Linked DNA regions of Caenorhabditis elegans. The protein of the gene in region 4 purifies or fractionates together with the protein of the main gene of each other region. This does not show direct contact. Each region holds a gene or a part of one and is shown on either strand. Other genes may lie near its edges.

Region 1 (7,212 bases), on a different chromosome or scaffold from region 4:
ATATCGTCTGACATAGAGATTACTGGATACATATATTTAGGTATTTAGACCTATTGGTACTACTGGAATTCTTCAATATGAGACTGAAAAGGGTGGATATTATACCAGTCTTGATGCCTCAAAGGGAAATCATTCACAACCACTTTTATGGTGCACAAATGACCAAATGTAAAACTGCTCAAAAATTCTCGGCAGAATTTTTTTTCTCAGTCAAAAAATTGCAATAACTCTGTTTTCATCTATGTATCACCTTAATTTTGGAGTCGACCAAAGGATATGCTTTTTTTAAAAGTATTAGTTTTTAAATTCTAACATTGTAATGCTCTTAATCCGCAGCAATACTCGAAAATTCTCAAAGTCCAATACTTTTCAAAATTTTATAACTTACTATTAGTACCAGAACTGTTTTTCCAAAAATTGGGGTCTCCCCTGCATATATTCTCTCCCTCTCTCTCTGCCAATACTTTGTACGGATACGTTTATAATAACTTTTATAATAGACCAACATAGCCGAAACACTCCAAAACTTTATTTAAATCCACAATTTTCAAATTTTTGGTAAACTACCAAATTTGGGATAGTTGTATTGTTGTATTTAAAATTGTATTCTTGCATTTTTTCACAATGTTCGAGTAAAAATATTTAAAAATAAATTTTAAAAAAACTGTGTAACTGACCTTTCGACTGTAAATCAAATCAACTCAAACATTTAAAAAAAAAGCTTTACTCTGAATTTTGGTAATGTTAACACTATACGAACTAGTTATACTAATTTCATCCATGGCTTTCCTTGGCGTAAAATCTCTCTAATTTTGAACGAAAACAAAGAAACTAATAAAAAGTATAGAGTACTTGATGGGAACACACCAACAAAACGAACAAAAAACAACTGATTCATCCCTGTCTCTTCTCATTCGAAAAAATGGAGAGAATGAGGGAAAAGGTACGAAAATGATCGACGAGAGGAGGAGAGGATACTCTACTGCAACGGATAAAACTGAATGAGAATTGTTTGTTTTTTTTTGTACATAGAAAATTTTTTGTAAAATAGCTCAATTATATTTTAAACCGAGTGGTAGTTCTGTTTTTTTAATCGGGTCTTGCAGCGATTTTGATTAGATTACTGTAACTATTCATGGAAGGCGTCAGAATATGTGGATGCACTTTGAAATAGAAAACCCTAACATAAATTTTACTAAAGAAATTAGGCTCTAAAGATTTGAAACCATAAACAAAACGGAACAGTTAAATTTTAAAAAATGTGTACCGTCCATTATATAGGCGGAGCTCTTCCGTATTCTCTATAAAACCGTTGAAGAAGTCCACGTTGGGTCAAAGAGATCGAGGAAAAGTTTAACAATAAGTGAGTGTAGCGGAAAAAGAGCATCCATTGTAAATGCATCGACTTGCTTCTTCCGCTTTTTTTTATTTGGGAGTCTCCCTGCATTTTCATAGTCTATATTTGTTTGTGAGAAAACGTGAACATGAGAGGTGCTTTATTTTTTTGGCAATTTAAAGTTTTTTTGAGATGTTAACATAGAGTATACAACAACAAACGGCAATATCTTGATGTCAAAAAAATAAATATTTGGCAATGTGGTCTTCAATTAGAAACTACGTTGTAAAGTATTCAACATCATTCGGATGGTACTGCTTCAAACTTATCTTCGTCCAATCTACTTTTTTTCGCTTCTGGCTCATCGGAGGTGTGCCCTCTGTCGATTACAAAATCTTCGTCACCAAAATCCACGTCATCTTGATTTGGTTTAGCGTTCGCATCGTCTTGAGTCATCATGTAGTACGGAGTTCCAACGTGTTCAGATGTTTTTTCAACGAGCATCTGATTAAGATCCCGAATACCAAGCCACTGACAAAACTCGGCAGATTGTGGATTACGGTAGTAGGCGCTTGGTGGCACATTTTTGGATGATTCCGTAATCTGTAAACAGTTGTTTTAATTACTATCCTTAAGAGATCCACGAAATTCTGAGATGACACTTACCTCTTTTAACGGAGGCGCAGTTTGTTGGAAACTGTCAGTTCTGATTGTTAAATCTCCGAGTTTTTCGATTTCTTTTAACTCCTCTGCTGTTGGTCGAAAATCTTTTCTTTCGTAGACACATGGACGATTTGATGCCATATCGGGAAGTATCAGCTGTTCTTTTGTTCCAGTTGTTAATAAATCTGTATTTCTCAGAATAGCCAACCATTGTGGATCATATGACAGTTCCAGTTTAGCATCGTCTGCAACATTCAACTCGAGAGCCTGAAAAATGAAAAAATTTATTCGATTGTATAATATTGAATGTTGAAGTTTAAAAAGTGAACGTGACGACTTGCCTGCATAAACTTTCTCCCAGGAATCGGTTTATCCAGTGATAAGAATCGTGTAGGCTGTGGACGGCCTGATCCTGAACCTTTATGAGGAACAAGGGCCGCAAAAGCAATATGAAGATGTGCAGCAAGATAGTATCTGGGCCGGCAATCCTAAAATACATACATACAGTAATTTTGCAAATATCACCAAAAAACATACATAAATCAGTTTCATTCCAGAAGGATTCCCCAGTTTGCCACTATTGTGATCTGCTTCAAATAAATCCTTTTTCCGGAAAAGCCATTCCTTATCACCAAAATCAGGAATACCTCCAGGCCAATCGTGTGAGAGCATTATGTCAATTGGGTTCTAAAATAGGAAAATGTTCATAAAAAAGTAATTTTCAAGCTTATACCGATATCTTATTTTCATTATCAGATTTCAATTGTCTTAACCGGAACATATCAACGTTTCGAACGTGATATGCGCTTTTAACATCTCTTTCCGAAAACGAAGGGCGTTCGTAATGCGAAAATTGAAAATCTCCTTGCGAGAAAATTCCAGAGAGTCCTGCGATACGAAGGTTAGCAAATCGAATGCAATTTGCGAATCCCATGTAATAAATATTCGGCGCCACCCATCCTCCATTAGGCAATTCACATAGATAACCAGATGCTTCATGGTTTCCGCCGATGAATAGAGTTAGAACTGGTGCTTTTTGTTCTCCAGAATAGTATTTATAGAATGTTTGAAGACTTCTGTACTTTGGTGGAATACTCATATGTGGAAGGTCGCCGTAGTTTCGGACAGCTTGATAATCGCCACAACAGATCAGCAAATCGAATTTGTAGCCATTTTTCTGTTCGATTAGTGTCATTGTCTGAAATATTTTTTTTAAATAGTTGTAATTTTAAATAGCAATTAAAACAATCTAATAGAGAAAATAGATCTGAAATATGCCATTAATTTTGTTCGAAAAATATGATTTTTTTTTAAATTTTACCTCATAAATAGCATCCATTTCTCCGTGAGAGCATCCGACAACAGCAATTCGTATTTTCTTTTCCCCATTGTTAACTTCTTTTTCAACTACTAACGTCTCCGGAGCAGGATCTTGATGCGAACCTTCATGGGAGCCACAGCAAGGTTGCTCATCTACTGGATTTTTCGATGACATTCTAAATTTTCATTGGAGTAAAAAAATGTTTAATGTTGATATCAGAAAATAAAAGGTATAAACCATTGAAGCTTTGTGGGATATTAACATTATTGAATACTTCGTGAATTTTATAAATTAAATAACGTATCAAAGTGAGATCAATCAATTAATGAAGATTAACGACGAGGAGCTGCTTGAGCTGGGAACATTTTCTTCCAGTAATCGACTTTTTCCATATTAACAAGTGGCATCAGCTGATCGGCAAAATCACGAAGAGACTTGGCAGCCTAAAATGAGTTGAAAAAATAAATTCGAAATTATTACTAAAAAACCTACCGGCATGTATTCTGCAGACTCGGGCAATGAGATACTGATTTCCACTAACGCAGAATCAGAAACAGATTTGATTGAATTTGAATCATATGTTCCTGCGCGAGAAGTACTAGTCAATATTGAGTGCAGAATCTTTATATTTCCTTTTGTCCACAATTTTCCTTGTGTCATATATTCATAGTCCATGCGGAGACCCAAGGATTTCGCATACGTCATCATATCCTGAGAATGGACAAGTGAACTGATTTCTTTTCGAACAATAGTTGGGCATTTTTGATCTGGTTCCGGAACTGAAATAAAACAAAAAATTATAAAATACGAATTATAAGGTTAAAACCGACCTCCAATGTACTTTAATTGCCAATAATTTTGAATTCGATGTTCTGTTCGGAATCTTCTTCGCAATCTTCAAAAATCAAATACATGCAAATATTTAAATAGATAAACAAAAAAGCTTACTTAATATCGGTTTTGATATCCATTATACCCGAAGATCGTAGGCTGAATGACATCTCATGCTCGAAGAATTCCTCACATCCCGGATCACAAAGGCCGGCTAAACGTCGTTCCAAGTCCTAAAGTTGAAACTTTTGTATTAGAATTTAGTCCAATTACTTTAAAAACTAACTGGGACATTTTTTGCGAAAATAGATCCATAAAGAACGCATTCTTGTGTTTGATAGGGAGTTGAATTCACAGAAAGCTGAATTAAAATGTTTTAGATGGATTTTAACAATCGAAATACCTTTTCTTGTGTTCCATCTTCATCAATATCCACTAAATTGTCCATATTTTGAATGAATCAACTAAATAAACAGAATAAAAAATGTTTTTAAAAAATTAAATTAATTCAAAACTATTTGAGCGTGATATTAAATGTATTCTACGCAATTCACAGCTGGTGTTTGCGGACTCACACTCTACGTGACTCATTTCCAGGGAAACCAACACTCCCGAATATTTTACCATTTTTACGATAAAACTCTGGTTTCAGTTACTTTAATGGTTAAAACTCTACTTACTTTCAATATTGCATAAAATATATGCGATAAGTTTTACGCATATAAAAAAAGAAGTTTGAAATTCTGAAAGAGTTCATTTCTAAGATTTAACAGATTCCAGAAATCAGTAGTGTCTCCATAAAAGTTTGTACTTTTTTGTACTTTTTTAAATTGCGCTTTCGGAAATTGTTACTTTTTAACATTTTTTCCCATTTTCCGCTCCGAATTACCTCTCTAAGATTTGCAGAAAATGACTGTGACGAGTGAAGAAGACCTATCTGAAAAAATGAGCGAACTCTACGTTGCAGAATGCAATGCGGTAAATTAAAAATCCTTTTACATGATTATGAACGACAAGACAAAAATAATTCGTTTTTAAATTCCGAGTTTGTTTCCCTAAAATAGTATAAAAATAATTAAGTCTGTATGAATTTAATTTTTCAGGCTAAAGCTCGGCTCGAAGTTGAGACCGAATGTCGAAGAATCATTGCTGATAACTATGAAAAAGTTCTGGAACGAGCAAAGGAATATTCGAAAAAGTTGGAAGCTCCTATTTTGGTAAATTACATTCTCTCTCATATAATCTTATTCTAATTTTTAGGCGAAAATTTGCGAAGTCGGTTATTTCTGCGGTGCCCATGTAGTTCGCACGAATCAAGTTACGATGGAAATGGGTGCAAACTATTACGGAGAATGCAGCATTCATACAGCTGAAAAGATCTTGGATCGGAGAGTTTCTGAAATGAGAAGGCAGCGTGAGGAAGGTCTCGATTCAATTCGAATGTTGGATGACAAAATAAAGTTTGCTCAAGATAATTTCTCATCTGTTTCGATTGATGGAGGACCTATCGAAATTGTCGAGAAATACGATGAAGAGATGGAAAAACTGTTTTATCAAAATCGCAAAAACAAAAAGATGTCTCAAAATGATGAACAGAACGAGAAGATAATAGAAAAGAACAAATTGAATGGTGACCAAGATCACAACGATGTGATGAACCGTTTGGAAGAACTAGAGAAACTGGAACAAGACAATGATGAGATGGAAGAAGCTCCAATTCCGAAACCTTTTGAAGTTTCAAACGAAGATTTACAGGATTTGGGTAAATTAGAGGAAGTTGAGGAAGTTGAACAAGATCCAACTGATAAAAAACTAAGATTTGGAATGAATGAACGTTTGCTGGCACAACCTGGAGTAACACAGAAGGAAATGGAACGGCTGTTAGATTTCTTAGACACTTGTGATGAAGAGAGTTCCGATGAGGAGTATGATGAAGATGAAGAGGAAGGAGACGATGATGAAGAGAATCTTAACAATAGTGTAGAAGAACTCGACTCTGATGATTATGCATCTGATGATAATATCGAGAAAAGCAATAATTCTGACCAACAACTGAAATCCAAAAAGATAGAGACCCAAGTGATTAAGGTCGAAGAAATTGTTGAGGTAATTTCAAATACTAAATAGAAACAATTCACTATTATTTTAACACACAATTTTTAGGAAACCGTAACAAAAACCACCGTCAAACGGAAAAAATCGGGAGTTCGATTTGCGCAACAGCTTGAAAATGTGAAAACATTCCATCAAACAGACACTGTCGAAATCAAGGAAGAAGATTCAGTTATTGAAACCAAATCAATTCTCCGGAGCACTGAACCAACACCCGTTGATCGTTCAGCTCTCGAACCCGAGCAAAAGGAACTTGCTGCGATGAGCACAATGACATTTCCAGGAGAAATTGTTGAGAAGAATCCGTACGAGTGTGAGCCGTCGACAAGCAGAGACCCCGCTCCCGTCATCACCGAGAAAAAAGTTTCCAAATTCAGAGCTTCCAGGCATAGAAATTGATCTTTACTTTCTAATTTCTATATAATTTTCATATCGTTCAGCTATATATCATTTTATGCTCACTGTTAAACACTTTTGCCACATTGGTCAACATTTCCCCCGTAGAATCTCTTTTTCTGTGTTTGAAAACTAACATTTAATAGTTGGCAGCAATTATCACGTTCCCATTGTCATTAAAGTTCTAGTATATTTCAAAAATAAAATTAAACAGTTTCAAACATTGCTTTAATTTCAAAACTAAAGATGGATTTCTTTCCTGAACAGTTGGTCTGATCACATTAGGCTGAAGAGACTAAACCATATTCGCAATGGGAGTATAATGTGCGCATATTGTGTTATCTTCCTTCGCTCCATGGCGAATCAACTGTGAACCAACTCTACAACAGACTCGGACACAAATCGATAGTTATATAAAATTTCGCTGTTTGAACGTTGCCATGGGGGCAATTTTGGATTTCTCACAACTGATCTAACGGGAAGGAATCAAATAAACTGAAATTAACAGTAAAATTTTAAATCAAAATATCTCGGAGCTCTAGGGTGAATAGAA
Region 2 (8,360 bases), on a different chromosome or scaffold from region 4:
TATCCCAATTCTTTTCAAAACTACAGTTTCGGCTCGATATACCAATGAAAGAGCACAGTGTAAACTTATTTTCAAAGTTCTCACGGCGACTCCAATCACTCTACATCAATATAAAACTGAAATTTTAAAAAGGAACCCCAAATGAAAGACAGCGTATGAATTTCACTAAAATACCAACCGATGACTAGTGATTTCGATCCCAATTCTTTTTAAAACTACAGTTTCGGCTCGATATATCAATGAAAGAGCACAGTGTAAACTAATTTTCAAAGTTCTGATGGCATCACCAACCATCAAATTACATCAATGTCAACACATCAAAATACAACGGAACATTTGAAGACTAGAAGGCCACTCGAATGAGTGTTGAGTGGGCCTCGAGAACCACCATCGGATAACACCTCGAGCGCAATCAACGGTTGGATTGTCCTGCTCTTGTCGACGAAGGACATACAAACGGAAAACCACAGTAAGTTTGCCAGAAGGATCATAAACAGTTCACAAGTCAATAGTATTCTAGGACCTTCCCCCGAATTAGCAGAAAAATAAAAAGAGTTGCCCAGGAACACATGAGTGAAATTGCCCAGAATTAGATGTGGTCAATCAATGATGATCCTATACGGCAAAATTAACAGGGAATACTCCACCTGTATTTGGAAAGCGTGGAGATGTATCCGGAAGCACGCTGTGCATGCTAGCCTTCACTTTTTAACCCCCGCTCAAGCGGATAAAACTATGAACCAAACCCAAAATCCGTGGCACTCTATTACTACTATTAAAATAGAACTGGAATATCGAAAGCGGAACCCCAAATCAAAGCAAATAAGGAACAAGAAAAGGAAATGTGACAATTCTTCCATTTTTGAATATTCAAACTTCGGGGGATCCAGGACTCAAGCCACTCTCGCCTGTGTCCTCCATCTTTCCATTTAGAGCAAGTGTTATCGGATTTTTGACTGATAAGATGCCTATTAGGTAGGCACAGCAGGCTCGGAGGAAGCCGCCCCCCCCCCTAAATGCCCACCAACAAGTCTACAAAATGACCCAGTGTAGTATGCACTTCCGATATTTTTCATTAAACCCACCGCGGCAATGCAATTTCGAAGAGATCCACCACGAGTGTTCCCGTTTTCCAATAATGACTCCTTCAAAACGACGACAATTTGCATGTGGAGCGAGTGTTCTAAGGAATTCCAGGGATCTTCTGATTGCAAAAACTGTTTCCGGAGCTGAAATACATAACAAAATTATTTCAAATTCCCCTCGGTAAATATATGTATTCTTTTAAACAAGCTGAAACTCACCCTAGTCTTTCAGGACTTTCAATAAATAGAGTTCTTCGGACCACATCGACAACAGTCGGCCATTAACCAGTACGTCTGTTTTTCATTTCTCTCGCCAAAATTTTCATATGGTGCAATTGTAGTCGGAGTCTTGACAACAGATTGACAAACTTCTATGTGTCATGTAGATGTCCTCCTAAATTAAAAATTGTTAAAATGTGGCAGAAGACACATGCGCAATACCTCAAACATGTCATCACTCAATTCCGATCCAAACTACGATTATCTGATGTTTTCGTATCCATTGTCTTTATCAGAACTTCCTTTAGTCATGCGAGCTGGTACTTGTACTGGCGTGGTGGTCACTGAAAGTAAATGAAATTTCTGTCGGAATTTGTGAGAAAAAATGAAACATGTTTAACTTTGCAAAGCTACAAAAGATTATTTCGATAAACAGTTTTCAATTATGGAAAAAGAAACGAGCAGAAAATATGAAAGCAACAAGGATTTGAAAGCAGAAAACAATAAAAAAAAACTGTGCACCACAACGGTCTGCAGACAGCACTCTATTGTGAGAGACGCCGAGAGAGGGAGGAAGAGGGCCATGTTGCGCAGAGATCACAACACTGCGGGCACTGTGCCAAGTATCATTCCGGATGGGAGACGTGTGTGTGTGTGTGTAGTATAGACGACAAGATTAAAAAACAATGCAAGAGGCGTTTGTTTTTGTAGATCACACGTAGATCACAATGTATTTGTAGATAACAATAAAACAGAAATACGATTTGAGAGATAAATAAACTGTGATCTACGCAAAATTTACACAGAAACTGCTGAAAGTGATGACTACTGTATACGGTTCGAGAAACTTTCGAGAAACTTTCCCCAACAACTTTCTCCAACTTTGGACAACTTTCGGCGAAGAAATACAAGATAGGATATTCAAATGAATGAAAAATGTTTTTTGGTTTTATCAACTTACTTTTTGGTTCAGGTTTTTTTTTCTAGCAAGCCATTTTGTTTTCAAATGCTAATTTGTCTTGTATGTAGTTAATAAACTTCTATTTTCGGTGAACAAAATCTCGAAAACTTCATTTAAAACTTGAAATTCATCAATTCCCACTGCAAACTGCGTATCGGAATTCGGAGTCTCGTTTGGCCACGCCCACTTTGTTGTTTGAACTTCAATTTTGAAATTAACAGTTTAGAGCTCTAATTAGAGCTATATATTGCAAAATATTTCCAATGTTTTGGTGATTAAAAACTGTAACACATTTTAAATAAATATTTTTATGGAAAAATTTCCAAAAAAATCCATGAAAATTCCACAGCAACGGAAGTTTGAAATTACAGTACTCTTTAAAGGCGCGCGCGTAAGAGGATTGCTTTCTTTTTGCTCAGGTCCGCATCGAATCCTGTTGTAATATTTTGCCAGAAGTATAGGTGCATGTATTCTTATTATACTATTGGAAAATCAATAGTTTCCGATACTCTCGCTATGTATTTGTTCAGCCTCTGTCCTCCAAAGTACAAAACCCCCATTTCTCCGCGCAAATGATGCATTGTCCGCAAACACGGCGGCTGCAACTCTGCGTACATTTCGCAACTCTCATTTAATTTTGTTTCCACAGAAAATGCCAATTAATCCGGGGTTTTTTAATTGTTTCAAGCTCAAATTTTGGTTAAAACTGTTATTTTATCTTTCAGGTTACAAAATGGACTACGACGTCATCGCCAATCAGCCTGTGGTCATCGACAATGGCTCCGGAGTCATTAAGGCTGGTTTCGCCGGAGAACAGCAGCCAAAGGTAGGCAATAACGAATCAAAACTTGAGATTTTTGAATTTTGAATTTTAAATCATCTTTTAATTCATTTTTTACAGGTTCGCTTCGCCAACTTCGTCGGACGACCGAAATATCACAGAGTAATGGCCGGAGGGCTCGACGGAGACATTTTCATCGGACCAAAGGCCGAATCAAACCGCGGGTTGTTCTCAATCGAATACCCAATGGAACACGGAATCGTCAATAACTGGAGCGATATGGAAAAAATTTGGGAGTACATTTTCGGACAGGATCAGCTGAAAATCTTCCCAGAAGAGCATCCAGTTCTGCTCACCGACGCCCCATTGAATCCGTTGAAGAACCGCGAGCGATCTGCTGAGATCTTCTTCGAAACGTTCAATGTTCCAGCGTTATATATTCAAATGCAAGCTGTGCTATCGCTGTACGCCACCGGAAGAACGACCGGAGTCGTTTTGGATTCAGGAGACGGAGTCACACATGCTGTTCCGATTGTTAAGGGATTTGCAATGAAGCATGCGTCAGTAAACTCTGGGAAATTGCTTTAAAACACGCCTATGTGGTCACAATGACCGAATATCATGATAAAAAAATTCAAAAAAATTTTCTAGATTTTATATGATTTTTTTTTTTTGAAAGTTGCGAAAATCCCAGTTTTCCCCTAATTCCGGTTTGAATTTCCGCCATATGAATTCGTTCGCTGGAGCGCACTTGCATTTCATTTTATTTTTTCTCATTATTTCACTGGTTTTTCTTCATTCTTTGTGTATTTTTATCGGAATAAGAGAGAAAAATTCAAGATAAATTGCAAATTATTTATTTAAAAATCACTGAAAATGCGTAAAACTGTAAAATTATGAGTTCCGGCGATAGCAAACCTGAAATTAGCTTAGTTCACAGTTTCACCCATTTTCAGTGATTTTTAAATAAATAATTTGCAATTTATCTTGAATTTTTCTCTCTTTTTCCGATAAAAATACACAAAGAATGAAGAAAATCAGTGAAGTAATGAGAAAAAATGAAATAAAAATTTAAATTAATAAAAATAATGCAAGTGCGCTCCAGCGAACGAATTCAATTGGCGGAAATTCAAATAGGAATTAGGGGGGAAAACTGATATTTTTGCAATTTTCAAAAAATCATATAAAATCAGGAAAATTTTTTTGAATTTTTTAATCATGATATTCGGTCATTGTGACCACATAGGCGTGTTTTAAAGCAATTTCTCCATTGGGCGCACTCCACCTTTAAAAAAAGCATTTAATTCTAAAATTTCCTTTTTTCAGAATTCAACGAATGGATTTGGCGGGTCGCGATGTCACCGAATACCTCCGAGTCCTTCTGCGCAGAGAAGGATACGAGTTCCACAGGAGCAATGAGTTCGAAATTGTCCGAGAGATGAAGGAGAACGCGTGCTATTTGGCGTTGGATCCGACGAAAGTGGAGAATAATTCAGTGAAAGTAGTGATTTTTTTTGCAGTGAAAATGAGCTGAAAATCGCATTCTTTCAGTCATCCTACGCTCTGCCAGACACCACGAAAATCGAAATCTCCAACTCATTGTTCCGTGCGCCGGAAGTGCTCTTCAAGCCGGATTTGATCGGAACCGAGTGGCCTGGAATGGCACATGTTGTCAATCAATCAATTATGGTAGGCTCACAGCCTGCTCGGACGAAAAATCACTTTTTCAGACATTTTTGCTTAATTTTTGGTGGAATTTCGTTGGAAAATATTAATTGGCACATAATATTGCTATTTTAAGTGCACATTTTTCATCTTTTAGACTTTTTAACTTGATTTTTCGTTTTGGAAATGTTTTAGCTCTTAAAGTAGAACAAAAATCGAAATTTCTACAAGATTACCATATAAATATCAATTTTCTGTTGAATTTTACCCAAAAAATGCGAAATTTCTTTAAAACGAGCCTAGCCAAGTGATTTTATCGATTTTTATCTTATTTTCCACCGATTTTTCACGTTTTCAGTGTATTTTTACAGGAAGTTTGAAGAAAAGTCAAGAAAAATGCGAATTATCGATTAAAACTCAACATTGAAGGTTTACGCCTTCAACGCTGATTTTTAATTGATATTTCGCATTTTTCTTAACTTTTCCTTCGAATTTCCAGTAAAAAAATACTGAAAACATGAAAAATCGGTAGAAAATTAAAAAAAAAAATCGATAAAACCACTTGGCGCGAGGTTTAAATTTTTTAAAGCTATTTTTCAATTTTTAAAAATCATATAAAATTTAGAATTTTTTTTTCTATGATATTTAGCCACTGTGATATCAGAGGAATTTTTTTAAATAAATTTTCAGTTAAATTTTAGCCAAAAAATGCGGAATTTCTAAAAAAAAAAAACACCCATCAGCTCAAACTAAATATTTCCAGAAATGTGACGTGGATCTTCGACAAACTCTGTACAGCAACATCGTGCTGAGCGGTGGAACGACGTTGTTCAAAGGATTCGGCGATCGTTTGCTGGGAGAAATGCGAAAAATCGCGCCCGCTGACGGAAAAATTCGAATTTCCGCGTCGCAGGAACGAAATTCGCTCACATGGATCGGCGGTTCGATTGTCGCCAGTTTGGACACTTTCCGAAAAATGTGGCTCGGAAAGAAGGAGTACGAAGATATGGGAGCGTCGGCGATGCACAAGAGATTCTTCTAAATATTGAATTTTTTCCCTTTTTTGCTCACTTTTCATCGTAATTTATTTGTTTTTTTTGCATATTTTCCCCCTTTTTCTCCCTAATTTGTTCCATTTGGCGCTGGCTCAAAAATTCTTCAAAATTTTCTCAAAAATAGGCGACCTTCTTCAAAAAATGTTATATAGCCCGATTCTCTGGACATAATTATTCAATTTACCCCCTCCTCCCCCAGTTCCGTGTCCCACTATCTGCTTTATGCCTGTTTCAATTATTATTTTTTATATCTAAACGATTCGATTTTTATGGAATTCTTCAATGCAATTTATTACAGGTTCCCGGCAGCTCAATGGAGCCGCTGCGTCAGGCGGAAACTGTGCAATTTTAAGACATGAGGAAAATATTTTTAAAAAAAACTTTACGGAAATTTTCCGAATTGCCGATTTGCCGGAAATTTCAATTCCGGAAAATTTGCCGGAAATTTGCCGATTTGCCGGAAGTTTCAGTTCCGCAAATTTGCCGGAAATTTTCAATTCTGGAAATTTGTCGATTTGCCGAAAATTTCAATTCTGGAAGTTTGCCGATTTGCCGGAAATTTCAATTCTGCAAATTTGCCGATTTGCCGGAAAATTTCAATTCTGCAAATTTGCCGATTTGCCGGAAATTTCAATTCTGCAAATTTGCCGATTTGCCGGAAAATTTCAATTCCGGAAATTCGCCGATTTGCCGGAAAGTTCAATTCTGGAAGTTTGCCGATTTGCCGGAAATTTCAATTCTGCCAATTTGCCGGTAATTTCAATTCTGGAATTTTGCCAATTTGCCGATTTGCCGAAAATTTCAATTCTGGAAATTTGCCGATTCGCCGGAAATTTCAATTCTGCAAATTTGCCGATTTGCCGGAAAATTTCAATTCTGCAAATTTGCCGATTTGCCGGAAATTTCAATTCTGCCAATTCGCCGGAAATTTCAATTCAGGAAATTTGCCGATTTGCCGGAAAATTTAAATTCCGGAAATTCGCCGATTTGCCGGAAAGTTCAATTCTGGAAGTTTGCCGATTTGCCGGAAATTTCAATTCTGCCAATTTGCCGGTAATTTCAATTCTCGAAATTTGCCGATTTGCCGGAAATTTCAATTCTGCCAATTTGCCGGAAATTTCAATTATGGAAATTTGCCGGAAATTTGCCGATTTGCCGATAGCTAACGGAATCTTCATTTTTTGAATTACACATATTCCTCCAATTGAGTAAATATAAAAGTCAGATTTTTCAAAAAACTACAACCTATAACTACAAAAAAGTCACACACACACACACCTCTTCTAGTTCCCTGTGATTTTGGTCTCTACGCTCTGAAATGGAGATGAGGTCATTTTTGGAGATGAAGAGATGATAGCAATAAGATGCTATTTACTTCATTTCGAAACTGGTTTTTCACCAATTTTTTTTTATTCTGCAAAAAAATATCATTTTCCGTTTTTTTGATAGAATTGAATCCCATTGGACTTCCGATAGACCGGCCGCGATGAAAATTTCTTTGATTTTTATTGCTTTCATTGCGATTTGTTCCAGCACAACTGTCTATAAAGTTAGGAAGGTGATTCGGAGGTGAGATGGATTAATAATTGAAAAAATAATCAAGTGAGTCTCAAATTAAGTTTATTCTCTGTATTACCGGGAACAATAAATCATGAGAATGCGTACGTGGAGCATTCTATTTGACGCGCGATATCTCTTACCGAAAACTACAGTAAGAACTTAAATAGCAATAGTTATTTGAGTTCTTACTGTAGTTTTCGCTAAGAGATATCGCGCGTCAAATAAAATGCTCCACGTACGCATTCTCATGATTTATTGTTCCCGTAATAATTCTACAAAATTGGTCGGTTGCACCATGTTATTCCAACATATTTTCATTTTTCAAAATTTTTGTTTCAGGCCATTTTTGAGCATTTTCACAAACATTTCAACTAAAATAAATGTTATTTTCAAATAAATCAAGTGATTTTCTATTTTTTGACACTAATTCTCAAAGAAAATGTTGGAACAACATGGTGCAATAGTCTATTTTGTACAATTGTTGTTCTCAACTAAAACTTTCAAGTAGGCACAAAACTGCCTACCTGCCTTCAAAGTATTTTATGCCTGCCAAGTGCCTACCGACAATGTTAATGTTGAAAATATGCACACGTAATTCTTCAAAAATGGTCGATTGCACCATGTTCTTCCAACATATTTTCATTTTTCAAAATTTTTCTTTCAGGTCATTTTTGAAGATTTTCTGAAAAATTTCAGTTGAAATTAATGTTATTTTCAAATAAATCTAGCGATTTTCTATTTTTTAACACTAATTTTAATTGAAAAATGTCGGAAAAACATGGTGCAATAGACCGTTTTGTAAGACTACAATTGTTGCTTTCAACTACAATTTTCAAGCAGGCACAAAACTGCCTGCCTGCCTTCTAGGCAACGTGTACCTGCCTAGTGCCTACCGACAATGTTTATCTTGACCATATCAAACTCTGTCTACCTGTAAATCAGTACCATTCAAAATTCCATACACTCTAAAATCTTCCAATTCCAGAGCAGAAGCCCGCCACTCCGCCGCCGATGATGACCTGGACATGGCTGCT
Region 3 (7,567 bases), on a different chromosome or scaffold from region 4:
AGAAAAATTGACAAATTCGAGACTCCTGAGACTTCTAGCAATTTTCAAAATTTGCAGGTGATCGATTCTGGAGACGGAGTAACCCATTGTATTCCAGTTGCCGATGGCTATGTAATCGGTTCCTGTATCAAACACATTCCAATTGCCGGCCGTGACATCACCTATTTCATTCAAAGTCTGCTCCGTGATCGTGAGCACACAATTCCAGCCGAGCAGAGCTATGAGGTGGCGAAGATGATTAAGGAAAAGTTCTGCTACGTGTGCCCGGATGTTATGAAGGAATTTGTAAAGTATGATACGGACGCGGCAAAGTGGCTTCGAACCTACGATGGAATTAATTCGATTACAAAAAAACCGTTTAACGTCGACGTTGGATACGAGAGATTCTTGGGTCCTGAAATCTTTTTCCATCCAGAATTCTGTAATCCAGAATTCACGACACCAATCTCTGATACAATTGACACACTTATTCAACAGTGTCCAATTGATGTTCGTCGTGGACTCTACGAGAATATTGTGCTCTCTGGAGGATCTACAATGTTCAAGGACTTTGCACGGAAGCTTCAGCGTGACGTGAAGCGTCTCAGTGATGGGAGACTTCAGATGAGCGAGACGCTGAGTGGTGGACGGTTGAAGCCGAAGCCGATTGATGTTCAAGTGATTTCGCATAAAATGCAGAGATATGCGGTTTGGTTTGGAGGATCTATGCTGGCGTCCACTGTGAGTTTTTGTCAGTTGGAAATATTTGTAAAAACTATTTTTTTTAATGGAATACTGGAAAAGTTGAGTAAAAATCGATTTTTCTGAATAAAAAACTTTTTTTTTTCACAAAAAAAGCTTTTTCAAAACGGAATAATATGTTTTAAAACGTTTTTTTAATGAAAAAAAAAAATTTTTAAACCACATTTTTCCGGAAAACCTTGAAAAGTGCATCCACTGTGAGTTTTTGTCAGTTGGAAATATTTGTAAAAAATATATCTAAAAAAAGAATATTGAAGAAATACTGGAAAAGTTGAGTAAAAATCGATTTTTCTGAATAAAAAACTTTTTTTTTCACAAAAAACAGCCTTATCAAATGGGAATAATATGCTTTAAAACAGTTTTTAATGAAAAAAACCATTTTTTCCGGTAAACTTTGAAAAGTTGATTAAAAATTAATAAATTGAGCATAAATTTTTAAAAAAAATGAGCATAAATTTTGAAAATCTCAAAAAATTGCTATTTTTTCCGAGAAAATGCATTTTTGACCGAAATTTTGGTACTTTTTTTGCAAAAAATATCAATTCTTTCGTTGAAAATAATTTATTCGAAAATTTGAATGAAAATTAAACTTTTTCACTAAAAAAAACTATATTTTTTGAATTTCGTAAATTTTTTAAAAAAATCGATTTTATTATTTTTTACTAACCAACTAATTTTTCCAACAAAAAAAATTTAATTTTCGATTTTTTCTGTAAAATTCCCAAAAATAATTGATTTTTTTTGAGAAAAATTTCAAAAATTCGGATTTTTATTCGAAAAATTAAAAAAAAAAGTTTTATTCAGAGCTTCGAATGAAATTTCTGAAATTTGTATTCCAGTTACCTCAACAAATTTTTAAAAATTTATATTTTTAATTTTTTGGCAATTTTTCAAAACTTTTTAAAACTCAAAAATATCCAAATTTTCAGTCGGAAAAAAATTGAAAATTTTATTTTTTTTTTGGAAATTTTTGAATTTTTATTCAGAATAAAGTCATAAATTCCCCCGAAATTTGAAAGTGAAAAAAATCAAAAAAAAAAAAATTAGATTTCGAATTTAAGAAATAAAAAAATTTCACTGAAAAACTATGGTTTTTGAAATAAATAAAGCACTATTTCTGAACAAGTTTTGAAAATTCAAAAAAAAATCGATTTTTACTAGCCAACTAATTTTTCCAAAAAAAAAATCTAATTTTTGATTTTTTTTTCTTTGAAATTCCCAAAAAAAAGTCAATTTTAAGTTTTATCCGGAAATTATATTTTTAATTTGTTTTTCTTCAAATTTGCAAAACTTTTTGAAACTCAAAAAATTGAAAATTGTTTTTTTTTTTGGAAACTTTTTAAAAAATTTTTATTCAGAATAAATTAAATTCTCCCGAAATTTAGTGAAAAAAAACTGTAGATTTCGAATTTAAATTAAATTTTAAAAAAATCGGTAGAATTCGAAAAAAAACAAATGTTTCCGATTTTTTCCAAAAAAAAATCTAATATTTGATTTTTTTTTTTGAAATTCCCAAAAAAGTCAATTTTAAGTTTTTGAGAAAAAATTGAAAAAAAATTTTATTCGGAAATTATATTTTTAATTTTTTTTTGGCAATTTTTCGAAACTTTTTGAAACACAAAAATAGCCAAGATTTCAGTCGGAAAAAATTGAAAAATGAAATTTTTTTTGGAAACTTTTTTAAATTTTAATTTAGAATCAATTAAATTCCCCCAAAATTTAGTGAAAAAATCACCAAAAAAACTATCAATTCCAAATTTTCAGTCGGAATTCTACCAAGTTTCACACACAAAGGCCGAATACATGGAGAGAGGACCATCGATTTGTCGTTACAATCCAGTTTTCGGAGCTCTTACTTAATTTTTTTTCTCCATTTTTTTGTATTTTTTCCCTATATATTTTCTCCAATTTTAATCCCTTCTCCACGTTTTTTTCTCTCTAATTCCCGAAATTTTTGAACACACATTTCACTTTTTTTCATCTTATTCTGGGCGATTCGTGTATGTACTTATTATTTTTATTTCCAAAAATTACCAATTTTTTAAAACCTTTTGAACGAAAAAATTCTCGAAGAAATTTGATTCCTGCGCCCCCAATTTTTTTTCTTAAATTGTGTTTTTTTGCATGACTATTGCTTTAATTTATTCCCCCGTTATATATAAATTCCCTTATTTTTGTAGTCTTTTTGGAGAAAAATTCCGCTCGATTTGAAAAAGTAGAACTCTTTTGTGATATTTTTGAATTTAAAAAAAAACTAGAAAAATTTCAGACGCTGATTTTCAGATGGATCTTCCAATTGTCTACTACGATGAGACGGAATGGGCGAAGACGCATACGGGAAATAAAGTGAATAAGAAGCATGCAATTGCTGGAACACAGAATATTTTAATTGCTGGAAAAGTGAGAATTTTTGGAAATTTTTAGAAAAAATTCAGTGTTTTCCAAGTATTTTGAAAAAAAAAAGAAATTAAAAAAATAGCGCAATATAATTTTTCTAGATTTTTGGAATAAGCTATACAAATTTTTTGGCAAATTCGGCAATTTGCCGGAATTTAAAATTTCTGGCATATTTGCCAAACCGGCAATTTGGAAAAAATTTAAATTTTCGGCAAATCGGCAAATTGGCAATTTACCAAAACTTAAAATTACCAACAGTTTGGCGAAAATTAAAATTTCTTGAAAATTCGGTAAACCGGCTGAAGATGAAAATTCCGGCAAATCAGTAATTTTCCGAAAATGAAAATTTCCGGCAAATCGGCAAGTGGGCCGGAATTGAGCATTTTAGGAATATTCGGCAAACCGGCAAATATGCCAAATATTCAAACTTCCGGCACACTGGCAATTTGCCAAAAATTAAAATTTCCGTAAATTTGCGAGAAAAAAAAATTTCCGGCAATTTTCCAAAAATTAAAATTTCCGACAGACCGGCAATTTTCCGAAAATGAAAATTTCCGGCAAACTTGACAAACCGGCAATTTGCCGGAATTTAAAAATTCCGGCAAATAGGCAATTTGACAAAAATTACAATTTTCGGCAAATCGGCAATTTTCCAAAAATGAAAGTATTCGGCAAACCGGCAATTTTCGAAAAATTGAAATTTTCCGGCAAATAAGCAATTTGTCAAAAATTGAAATTTTCGGCAAACGACAAACCGGCAATTTGTAAAAATTTAAAATTTCCGGCAAACCGGCAATTTCCCAAAAATTCTAATTTTTGGCAAATTCGGTAAACTGTCAAGTTGCCAAAATCTAAAATTTCCGGCAAATTCGGCAAACCGGCAATTTTGGTACACCGGCAATCTGCCAAAAATAAATAGCCGCCCACCCCTGATTTGAAACATCAAAAAAAGTGAAATTTTGCAGACAATAATCGAGGAAGGAGTGACAATTCGCGGTGATCTGGCGACAGTTAAAATTGGAAAATATTGTGTTCTAAAGTCTCGATGTAACATCCGTCCATGCATGAAAATATTCAGCAAAAAACCAACAATGTGCAACGTTATGATTGGTGATTATGTATTTATTGAAGAAGAATGTGTCGTCAATGCCGCTCAAATCTACGCATTTGTACATCTTGGAGCTCGTGCGGTGCTCGGAAATGGTTGTGTGATTCGAGAATGTTCGAGGGTTCTTCCGGATACTGTAGTTCCAGCGGACGCACTTTTTCCACCGTACTCAACGATCGGCGGGAATCCTGGTCAGTATGCCGTCGAAAAAGCGAAAATTTGAAATTTTCCTAATTTTTTTGAGAGCCGGAAAATCGAAAAACTGGAAAAAAAACGTTTTTAAAAGCACAAAAATTGCCTGTGATGATTGAAAAATTGGAATTTTGACGGAAAATCGAAAATTCCTAATTTTTCGAACTTTTTAAGTAGGAAAAATCGAAAAAACTGGAAAAATTGAGAAATTTCTTTCAAAAAACATTTTTAAAAAAACTGAAATTATTGAAAAATTGGAATTTTGGCGAAAAATCGAAAATTATCGATTTTTCTTATTTTTCTTATTTTTCTGAGCTCCCTAATTTTCAAAAAATGGTAGAATCGCTGTGTACTCCCCGAGGAGAAGTTTTAATTTTATTCTACAGTAAATTTTCAGTTTTTGACTCGATTTTTTTCATTTTTGGACCATTTTAGGCTTTTCAGTTTAAAAAAGGAAAATTAGAAAAAATTTAATGAAGATTCAATTTTTATTTTAAAAAAACACATTTCTTTGAAAAAAAATGGCCGGATATTATCGAAAATTTGAATTTTTTACCAAAAAATCTGAAATTTTTTTTTGGATTTTCTAGAAAATAAAACTTTCAGAAAAAAATGCAGATTTATCAGAAAGAATTTCTCAAAAATTTGAAAAAAATTTCCGAAAAATCGTACTAATCGAAAATTTAAAGTTTTTTTTTTAATTTTTAGAAAAAATTAAAATTTTCAATAATCTCCGGTAGTTTCTTAATTTTTTTTGGAAATAAATGTTCTTTAAATTTCTCGATTTTCAAAAAAAAAATTTTTTTTCCAAAATCGATCATTTTTGCTGAAAACTGATTTTTAAAATTTTGAAAAAAAAAACCTCCTCGAGGACTACACCGGCAGTTCTTCCATTCTCCAAGAAATTTTTGAGCCGCGAAAAGAAAATGAAATTTCCGGCGAATTCGGCAATTTTCCAAAAATTGCCGGAATTTTTCCAAAACAAAATCAACTCTTTTTCAGCTCAAGTGGTCGGCACTGAACCCCGTTGCACCGAGAACCTGATGATGGAGGCCATAACGATGTACTATGATAATTTCGTACCGAAACAACGAGCTATCGCATAATTTTATTGTAAATAAAACGGGATGATTTCAATAAATAATTCTTAACATTGGAGGGGCGAGCATGATCAACAATGAACAATATAAAGTGGCAACAATTTGATGGACATTTCCAAAACTTTGTTCATTAGCAGAATGTAGTTGTCGGTGGACTCCTGGAAATTTAATTTTAATTTTTTGAAAGGATTTTAATTTAAAATACTCAAAAACTAGTCCCAAATGCCAAAAAAGAAAAAAAAACGAAAAAATTCGGATTTTTTACGCCTAATTTGAATTCTCGCGCTTTTGTCTCTAAGTTCCGCCTATAAAAACCGTGCCGCACTCTGGTTTTTTCAATTTCGACACAGATTCCTGTTTTTTTTTTCTAATTTTCAATAATTGTTTAACATTGCTGACCGTATTCTTAATTGAAAATTAGAAAAAAAAACAGTGCGGCACGGTTTTATGGGCGGAGTTTAGAGACAAAAGCGCGGCGATTCAAGTAAAAAATTCAGGTAAATCGAGAAGTTTTCAATTTCTCGGAATAAACTCACATCAACACAAACTGTCACATAATACTCAAAAAATTGGAAAAAGCAAAAAACGGCACGAATGATATGCTGATTGGTGAATCTTTTGTGTAGCTCTTCGCGTATTTTACGGAAATATTGCATGCGAAGGTGGTTTTCAGTGAACTTTTTGACATCAATCATTATCCAATCGGCTTTATTTGGATCGTCGAACATTTTTCCGTACAGGTGGTCTAGATTTTGTTGGTTCTCGAGTTCAGCGAACATTTTCTGAAAAAAAAGAAACTGTATTTTATACGAAATTGTGTCATTTTTAGGGCCAAAAATTCCAAACCAATCAGCGAAGGTGGGCGGAGCCAGGCGCTGATTGGTTTGAAGTTCCTCTCCGATTTTTAATTTTTTTTTCCAAAAAAAAAACGAGAAGTTCCGTTTTAAGTGTTTGCTTAAAGCCAAAAACCGGAAAAAAATGTTTTTCTTTTCTAATTTTCACAAAATCAAAGAAAATTAGTGTTTCTCTTATTATCCAGACGCGAAATTTCGCACCAAAAATACGGTAGCCGGTCTCGACACGAAAATTTTTGTCGAACACAAAAGGGTTTGCGCCTTTAAAGAGTACTGTATTTTCAAACTACTCTTTTCTGAGGAGTTTTCATAGCTTTTCGATTAAAAAAACACACGACTTTGAGAAAAACTGAAAAATTGGTGGAAAATTCCACAGCTACAATAGTTCGAAATTACAGTATTCTTTAAAGGCGCACAACCGTAAAAATTGATTGAAAAAAAAATTGTCGTGTCGAGACCGGGCACCGTATACGACCGTACTTCACATTTAAAGGTACATGCATCTTATCTTTGCTGTACCTTATTGAAATCATTATTTTCAACAGTCTGTCGGATCAAATCGTTAATTGCTTGAGCTGCTTGGCCGGCTATTTTTCGCATTTCCGTCTTCCAATTGTGTGATCTGAAAATATTTCCTCAATTTATTTATTTCCTGCTGCAGAAAAAATGAGAGAAAAAAAAGTTTTTTTTTAATTTAAAAAAAAATCGATGTTTGTTGGTTTTTCGGAGCAAAAACTAGTTTTTTTGGCAAAAAATTCGATTTTTTGTGACATCTGTGGAGTATTCACCTCTGTGGAGGCTCTTCTTGTGGAGGCTCTGGCTCCACAATTGTCGAAGCACAAGAACTTTCGAACACATCACGGGATAACTCATCATTTCTTTCGATCCGTTGAGTTCTTGCTCCAGGACTTTTTGTTTTGCCCAATTGTGCTGCGCTGGTCGTCGGAGCCGTCGGAGCCGCTTGAAGCTCCAAGCTTGCGACCTTTTGCACCTCAATTTCAGAATTTTTCTCCACCGGGCGGCTTGCAACTACTTGCACGATTTTCACGGTTTTTACTGCCAAATTTCGAATGCTAAAAACATTTTTTTTAATTATTTCATGTTTTCTGAAATTAATAATTACTATTTTCGAGTCTCAGCACCGAGTCTTGACCCAAAACGTCTCTCAAGTGAAA
Region 4 (6,498 bases):
TAAATTGAGCATTATTTCAGAATATATATATATATATATATATATATTATATAGATTATATAGATTATGATTATGATTATGGAGGTTAAAAGTTTGTTACTCTCCGTTGACTATTTTCTTAGCTTAGGCTTAGGCTTAGGCTTAGGCTTAGGCTTAGGCGTGGCTTTGGCTTAGGCTTAGGCGTGGCTTAGGCTTAGGCGTGGCTTACTACTTTAAATACAACTTTTTTTAAATGCGTTTATAAATGTTTTAATCTTGTTCAACTTTCCATCTGAGTTCTTATTCATTAGTATATGCCCCATTAGAACAAAACGGAAATTTGCGGCAAATTTTTTGTGTTAATCGCCGATTTCACCGATTGTCAAAAATTGAAAACCGGTGAACGCAGGATCCGCCGATCGGATGTTTCGGCGCATAAGTGCGGTTTGTGATTCTGTGATCGCCATGGAAAACTCCTGCTTTCTCACATGGAGACAACACCTTGAAGAGTAGAAAGATTTAACTGAAATTTTTAATAAATATTGTTTCATTATTTTCATGTTGGATATAAAAATTATTAACTCTTATATCCACGTGATAACCGTTTCAAATTTATTTTCTATACTTGGAAACTTCAAAAAAAATGTATTGTGTATTTTGAATTGATTCATTGTAAACGGTCACAATGACTTCTCGAAAAGCTAAAGAGGTAATTTTTGTGCTTTCAATTAAATGTCAACTTTTAAACTTTCAGAGTGCTCACATGTCTGCAAGTGACATAATATCGACATTCAACGATTTTTTCACGAATTTCCCGGCCAACAAGAGCTTCGACATGACTTACAAAGGTTTGCAATGGCGGAAAATAATTGGAGACCCATTTTAATTTTTCAGTATATCTTAAAGACTTGGCTGATGCAGATGAAGAATTGACTTCCTCGAGACGCAATTCCGAGTTAAATCTGACTGAAAACAAGCCAATCACAATCGCCTCGTGTGGATTTGTTCCTCAAATGATGTCTAGTTCGACTGTGGTAAATCATATTTTTTGCTGGAAAGTTTAATATTCTGAACTTTTAGAAAAACCTATCGCTTTCATCATCGGCAACTAATTTTAACTCGGAAAAGTCTGAGATCGGATCGAAAATCACGATGAACCCTGCAAAACAGGTTCTCAAGGGTAGAAATACTCGCAAGAAGAGGTCAATGGTCGACTTGTCGCAGATTAACAAGATCTTCGGAAGAGACTATAACCCGCCAGCTCCATCTTCAAAATCGCCACCGACTATTTATGTGAACTTGGGAGTTATATATTCTTCGTCCTCTTCTCACGCTTCTGATGCTTCATCCATCAGTTCCCATACGTCCGTTTCGTCTACTTTTACCGAAAAGCAGCACGAATTTGGAAAACTCGTTCCATCTGGGACTGACGGCAGCCTTGAGTTGTTCGTTAAAGTGGCCGATTGTTTTGATTAAAGAAGGCGAATCTCTTGAACTTGAATAAACTTGCAATCTAGTAAATGTTAATTTTTTTGATTTTTGGGAAGAATACACTAAAACGTCGTTTAAGAATATGTTCACTGAGAACCAATTACATTCTTTTGTGCTGAATATAATAGAAAAATGCCTCTCTGACTAGGTCTTAGGATAAACTTGGAAGTATAACAGAAGTTATACTTTATTTTTTTGTGAAAAGATTAAGTAATCAGCTACCAGAATCAAATAAAATTTTGCCGAAGACCTCTGGAAATCTGTAAATTCCGCTCTGAAAATGTTTCTGAAATTCACGGTGTTCAGTGGAAAACTCACTTTTCACGTGAAGGCTAAGCACACAAAAAATTTACAATGTTGTATCGGAGTTTTGACATGAGTATCAAAGGTTCGACAATTTCAGCTTCTCAAATCTCGATCTTATTTTCAGTATACCTTCAAGATTTTGCAGATTAGGAAGGTCTTTTCGCCAAAGTAGTACAACTACTTGTATCACGCCTACCACGATAGCGTGGTTTGGTACGGTTTCACTGCCAGCCCTTTACTCTACCCAACTATCCAAGAAAAACGAGTGAGAATTTCACTGCCAACATATTTGACGAACTAAATATCTCATAGCGAAAACTACGAAACTTTTTTAAATGACTACTGTAGCGCTGGTGTCGATTTACGGTCCCGATTTTCGAAACGAATTACCGTTCGAAAACACTTGTGGCAGAGATTTTATTTTTTTGTTTTATTCGTACTGTTTTGTCATTTTTCTGTTTTCCATTTATATTTTATCGATTAAAAATTATTTCCGTAAATCGACACCAGTACAGTAGTTACTTATGAAAAGAGTTACTGTAGTTTTCGTTACGAGATATTTTGTTTATTTCGCGTCAAATATATATTTTTATAAATATGTTGCGCAATATGCATTCTTAGAATATCGTGTTCCTGTAATAACATACACTTGCGTCGACGACCTGCCAGCCCAATTTTAATTAGTATGTAAAATGCAATCTTCTCCCAAATGAAATCCCTATCCGGATTATAAAATATTAGTTAATTTGTTTTCTAAAATATTTGTAATTGATGTCAAGTCAAAGGTGTTCCATCCTCAATAACCTTCGTATTTATTTATATGCATTTTCAACATTAATTGAGTTTTCCGTATTCCAGTTGTGCGGGTACTAATTTCTCGTGCGAGAGACCATGTTAAAAGGAGAGAGTGCGATACTGTGGCCGAGAAATCTCAGCGCGGCCGAGGGACGAGATCGTGTTGTGAAATAGTTTTTTTTACAAAAATAATTATTTAAGTTTAACATTAATTTTTGTGATTAAAATAACATTAAACTGCTACTTTTTCAAATTTTCGAATTAAAAATTTAACATTTAGGAGCGGTTGCGGTTCTCAATATGAGCGAGTTGCTGCAGTACAGTCGAATCAAATACGAGTGCACCTGTGGAAAATTTCGAACCCTTCCGGACCTTGTTTTCTGCCGATATTGCTTCAAAATTAAGTAAGTTTTTTTAATGGGTAATTGTCTAAAAATAATTGAAAAAAAAAATTAACCAACTTTTCCAGGTGTGATGACTGTAGCTTGGGAGAAGTTGACAATATTTTCTGTCCTCGATGCCTTGAACCATCAAGCGTCCCTGAAGCAAGACTTAAAAAGCATAAATGCGCAAGTTGCAATGATTGTCCTAAGTGTGGTATGATTTATCCACTATTTTGTAAATATATTTGAATATTTTCAGCTAACGTTCTGAGTGCTCGTACAGAAAATGATAATGTATATTTGGTTTGTCAGTACTGTCGTTGGTCTTCAAGAGAAGCGAATCAAGAAGATCAAGAGAATACTAAATCCTGGCCAACGTATGACTAACTGTAAATATGATCTTATGACATTTTATTTATACAGAAAAGAAAATCCATTGGTTAATCAACTTGGTGAGGTGACGGCATACATGAAGAGACTTGAATTGATTGAAAATGCTCCAAAAGATTTGAAAAAGGGAAAATCGGGCAAAGCCTGGACTGCTTTTCACTTGAAAGACAAGTTTGGATTTCAACAAATGGTAGATAAGCGGAAAAAAGCACTGGCTCCTGAAATGAATCCAGTTGATGCACATGCTCCAACAGAAGCGCCGACTCTTGAAGATGAGATTAAAGAAAGAACGGATGATCTGAGAACTCTCGATCAAATCATAATGCAACCATTGATCAATATCTCTGAGCCACTCCTTCCTGTACAAGTTCCTCTGGCTGGAAGAGTTCAAGTTCGATGTGATGAGTGCGAAAGAACTCTTATCAAACGAGACTTCGGAGTTACTACCTTTAAATTTAAAATTTCGGTGAGTAGCTCATTCAACAATAATGTAAAAAGTTTAAATTTCAGTCATTTGCCCGTCAATTTGTTCCTGACATCAGAATGTCTCGACCGGTTGATGATCTTAAAGTTGGGGAGACATCACACGTATTTCTCTCTATTACCAACTTATCATCATCTGCAATGGATTTGACTATCGCACCTCAATCTGGAAATGGTTTCATTCAATGTTCCAGTGATCCAATCCAGCTTCTTCTTCCATCATCGCGAGCATCGGATACTGCTGCTCCTGGAGTTCATGCTGACCAAAGGTTAGTTTTTTCTTGTTTTTAATTGACTAAAAATGGTATTCCAGTGACGTCATCGTGTTCCGACAGCACAACCGAGTTGGCCTTCGACTGGATGTTATTCCCACCGAGATGGATCTCTCTTCTCCATGTCTCAATCTTTTGATTACATATTGTCAGGATGGATCGTTCCGTCTCTCCTCCGCTAGTGACAAAATATTGAAACCAGAAGAAACGTGTCCTGATCCAATTCTCTCTGCTAATTTAAAAGTAGATCTCAGATAATCATTTCATGTATATTTGTTTCTATCCTTTCTCTACCACAGCGTGTCTTTTCTTAAACATAATTTATAAGCTTTGTTAAATATTTAGAAGACGTTTTTATGCTTTAAATTAAATACTTTAAAATTCAACATTCAAACATCCCAACAACAAATAAACATGATCGAGAAAATCAAAAATCAATATTCTGGCAAGATGGAGTATTTTGATGACCTGGAGCTGGCTCATCAAATGCAGGTGGAAGATGCATCACTCGAATTTGGAAACCTTTTCTGGAACTTGCTTCAAAAATAAGATCGAGAATCGGTGGAGTGTGTGTTCCAACGGACATCAATCGGGGCAAACTCTTCAAATGGAAGTATCCATGAGCAGTGCCAAGATGTTTGAACATTTTCTTCTCATTTTCATCAAACGGCATCAGTTGAATATGTGTATCAGCTGCGGATTCCAGTATACGCCAAGTTGGTTTCGGAACTCTGAAGGAGTTAGCCGTGATGTATACAATCATGTAACTCGAACGAGCTAAAGATCGGAGACAGCACAGGAATCGGCCAAGGAACTTGTAATCTTCACAAATTTCCATATCGATATTCTTCAGAACCACTCGAAGAAGATTCTTTTTCGGTCCACCTGAAGTAAAATTCATTAGTTTATGTATAATAATTCAATAAAAATCTCACCTCTTCCGCCGGATTTTGTGTGAGCTTCATTTTCTTTTACAATTTGGCAGAGCGTCTCGTAAATCCCTTTTAGCGTAAAAACTTTCTCCGCATACACGTCAACATTCGGATTCTCTACATGCTTCGTAAAGTCATACTGATTTTCGTTGCTTAATGGTCCAAGGGAAGAGGAAACTTGTTTTACATTTCCATACCGCCACGCAATTTTCATCGAGTTTTCATTTTCTGCCGGCAGAGAATTTGGAATTTCTTGATTTTGCATATCCGTGGATGTTCTTCTAGATGGTATGAGATTGATCTCTTTGGGATCTTCCGTGGGATCCGCAATGAAGCATCGATGACCATGATGAAGTCCTTCTGCGAGGAATGAACGAATGAGATAAGATCCATAGCAACGAGAACGATACTCGTCTGAAAATGAATGTGATTTTAATTTTAGGTTAGCGGGTATTTAATGAACAGGTAGCAACTAAATTAATAAATTACCTATGAGAACAATACTTGAATTAACTAAAGCTCCTCCAATGAGTGTGTCAAATGAATCGCAACCACTTGAAGTTTCCAGTAAGCGTTTCTTTGTTGAACATCCGGCAATTTGAACACTATCACCAACGTTCAACATTCTGAAATTACTTTAAAAATATGAAATATTGATGTTGACCAGGAAATTACGATAAAAATATTTGCAAGGTTATTACCAAACCATAATGTAATTTGAGAAACAGAAAAGAAAAATGAGATTTAAACAAACTAATTATTATTTCTAAAAACAAAAATAGGGTTCTAACTAAAAAATATATAAAGAAACCCGCAATAAAACAATATGAATTATTATCAGACTACTCCAATCTTTTTTCGATCGTCTCCACTCAATTGCAGCTCCTTTCTGAGAGCTTCGCGAGCATCCATTTCCTGGCGTCGACCCATTACCACCTGAGATTTCACTGTTACAAACGCACCGAATCCGACAAGAATAATGATTAGGTAAGCCATCCATGTATTACGATGATTTTTATCGAGGTCATGTCGGCCGACAAGCTGGAAATCAATTTAAATCAGTTTTTAGAATATTCTTCAGTATATATAATTTACCTCTGATCGATAAGCCCATTTCACTTTCTGTCCTTGTATTGTCATTTCGCGATTTTTTTCTGCGCTTTTAATACGAATTTGTTCTTCAAGTAAGTCCATGTTTCTGAAAATTGTTGATTAAAAACTTGAAGGTTTAAAAAAGCATAATCTTACGTAATATCTCTCTGATCTTTAGTTCTGTGAAGCTTTGGATTTTTCACAGGAAGAGTACAGAGATATCGTTCAGTAGGAATACGTTGGATAATGCGAAGCATCTTAAAAAGGAAATTCAAAATAATTTTATAAAATTAATTTCCTCAAAAAAGAGGCCCCACGAAAAGGGGAGCAGAACGAAAAGGGGATCTGCAAAAAGGGGATCTGCGAAAAGGGGAG

What was found.
Region 1: the proteins of dnc-4 (region 4) and dbr-1 fractionate together in Caenorhabditis elegans (co-fractionation; one large-scale study listed by BioGRID). This does not show direct contact.
Region 2: the proteins of dnc-4 (region 4) and arp-1 fractionate together in Caenorhabditis elegans (co-fractionation; one large-scale study listed by BioGRID). This does not show direct contact.
Region 3: the proteins of dnc-4 (region 4) and dnc-5 fractionate together in Caenorhabditis elegans (co-fractionation; one large-scale study listed by BioGRID). This does not show direct contact.

The regions. Positions count from the first base shown.
Region 1 is NC_003279.8:6,489,233-6,496,444, forward strand, and holds dbr-1 (Lariat debranching enzyme), read right to left. Parts: upstream 3,496-7,212; 5' UTR 3,495-3,495; coding exon 3,321-3,494; intron 3,198-3,320; coding exon 2,733-3,197; intron 2,687-2,732; coding exon 2,537-2,686; intron 2,488-2,536; coding exon 2,341-2,487; intron 2,267-2,340; coding exon 2,003-2,266; intron 1,940-2,002; coding exon 1,637-1,939; 3' UTR 1,489-1,636; downstream 1-1,488. Other genes in the region: mdt-18 (Mediator of RNA polymerase II transcription subunit 18), read right to left, coding at 3,653-3,763, 3,813-4,099, 4,151-4,215, 4,269-4,384, 4,438-4,512, 4,555-4,599; uri-1 (Unconventional prefoldin RPB5 interactor), read left to right, coding at 5,097-5,129, 5,255-5,368, 5,412-6,257, 6,315-6,662. UniProt on the Caenorhabditis elegans protein: Cleaves the 2'-5' phosphodiester linkage at the branch point of lariat intron pre-mRNAs after splicing and converts them into linear molecules that are subsequently degraded. It thereby facilitates ribonucleotide turnover.
Region 2 is NC_003280.10:15,117,311-15,125,670, forward strand, and holds arp-1 (Actin), read left to right. Parts: upstream 1-2,990; 5' UTR 2,991-2,998; coding exon 2,999-3,091; intron 3,092-3,166; coding exon 3,167-3,606; intron 3,607-4,372; coding exon 4,373-4,547; intron 4,548-4,597; coding exon 4,598-4,735; intron 4,736-5,474; coding exon 5,475-5,753; 3' UTR 5,754-6,035; downstream 6,036-8,360. Other genes in the region: Y53F4B.23 (Neuropeptide-Like Protein), read left to right, coding at 7,253-7,335, 8,312-8,360.
Region 3 is NC_003279.8:2,878,898-2,886,464, reverse strand, and holds dnc-5 (Dynactin subunit 5), read left to right. Parts: upstream 1-3,010; 5' UTR 3,011-3,024; coding exon 3,025-3,141; intron 3,142-4,103; coding exon 4,104-4,437; intron 4,438-5,440; coding exon 5,441-5,544; 3' UTR 5,545-5,589; downstream 5,590-7,567. Other genes in the region: arx-1 (Actin-related protein 3), read left to right, coding at 58-720, 2,506-2,601; Y71F9AL.8 (Myb_DNA-bind_3 domain-containing protein), read right to left, coding at 5,610-5,696, 6,075-6,320, 6,912-7,014, 7,181-7,465, 7,516-7,567.
Region 4 is NC_003282.8:8,016,162-8,022,659, reverse strand, and holds dnc-4 (Dynactin subunit 4), read left to right. Parts: upstream 1-2,851; 5' UTR 2,852-2,871; coding exon 2,872-2,975; intron 2,976-3,040; coding exon 3,041-3,168; intron 3,169-3,213; coding exon 3,214-3,331; intron 3,332-3,377; coding exon 3,378-3,810; intron 3,811-3,854; coding exon 3,855-4,096; intron 4,097-4,140; coding exon 4,141-4,357; 3' UTR 4,358-4,485; downstream 4,486-6,498. Other genes in the region: C26B2.2 (Membrane-associated kinase regulator), read left to right, coding at 665-688, 734-827, 874-1,013, 1,060-1,455; elpc-4 (Elongator complex protein 4), read right to left, coding at 4,527-4,984, 5,035-5,445, 5,521-5,656; C26B2.7 (Cytochrome c oxidase assembly protein COX20, mitochondrial), read right to left, coding at 5,869-6,072, 6,127-6,229, 6,280-6,380.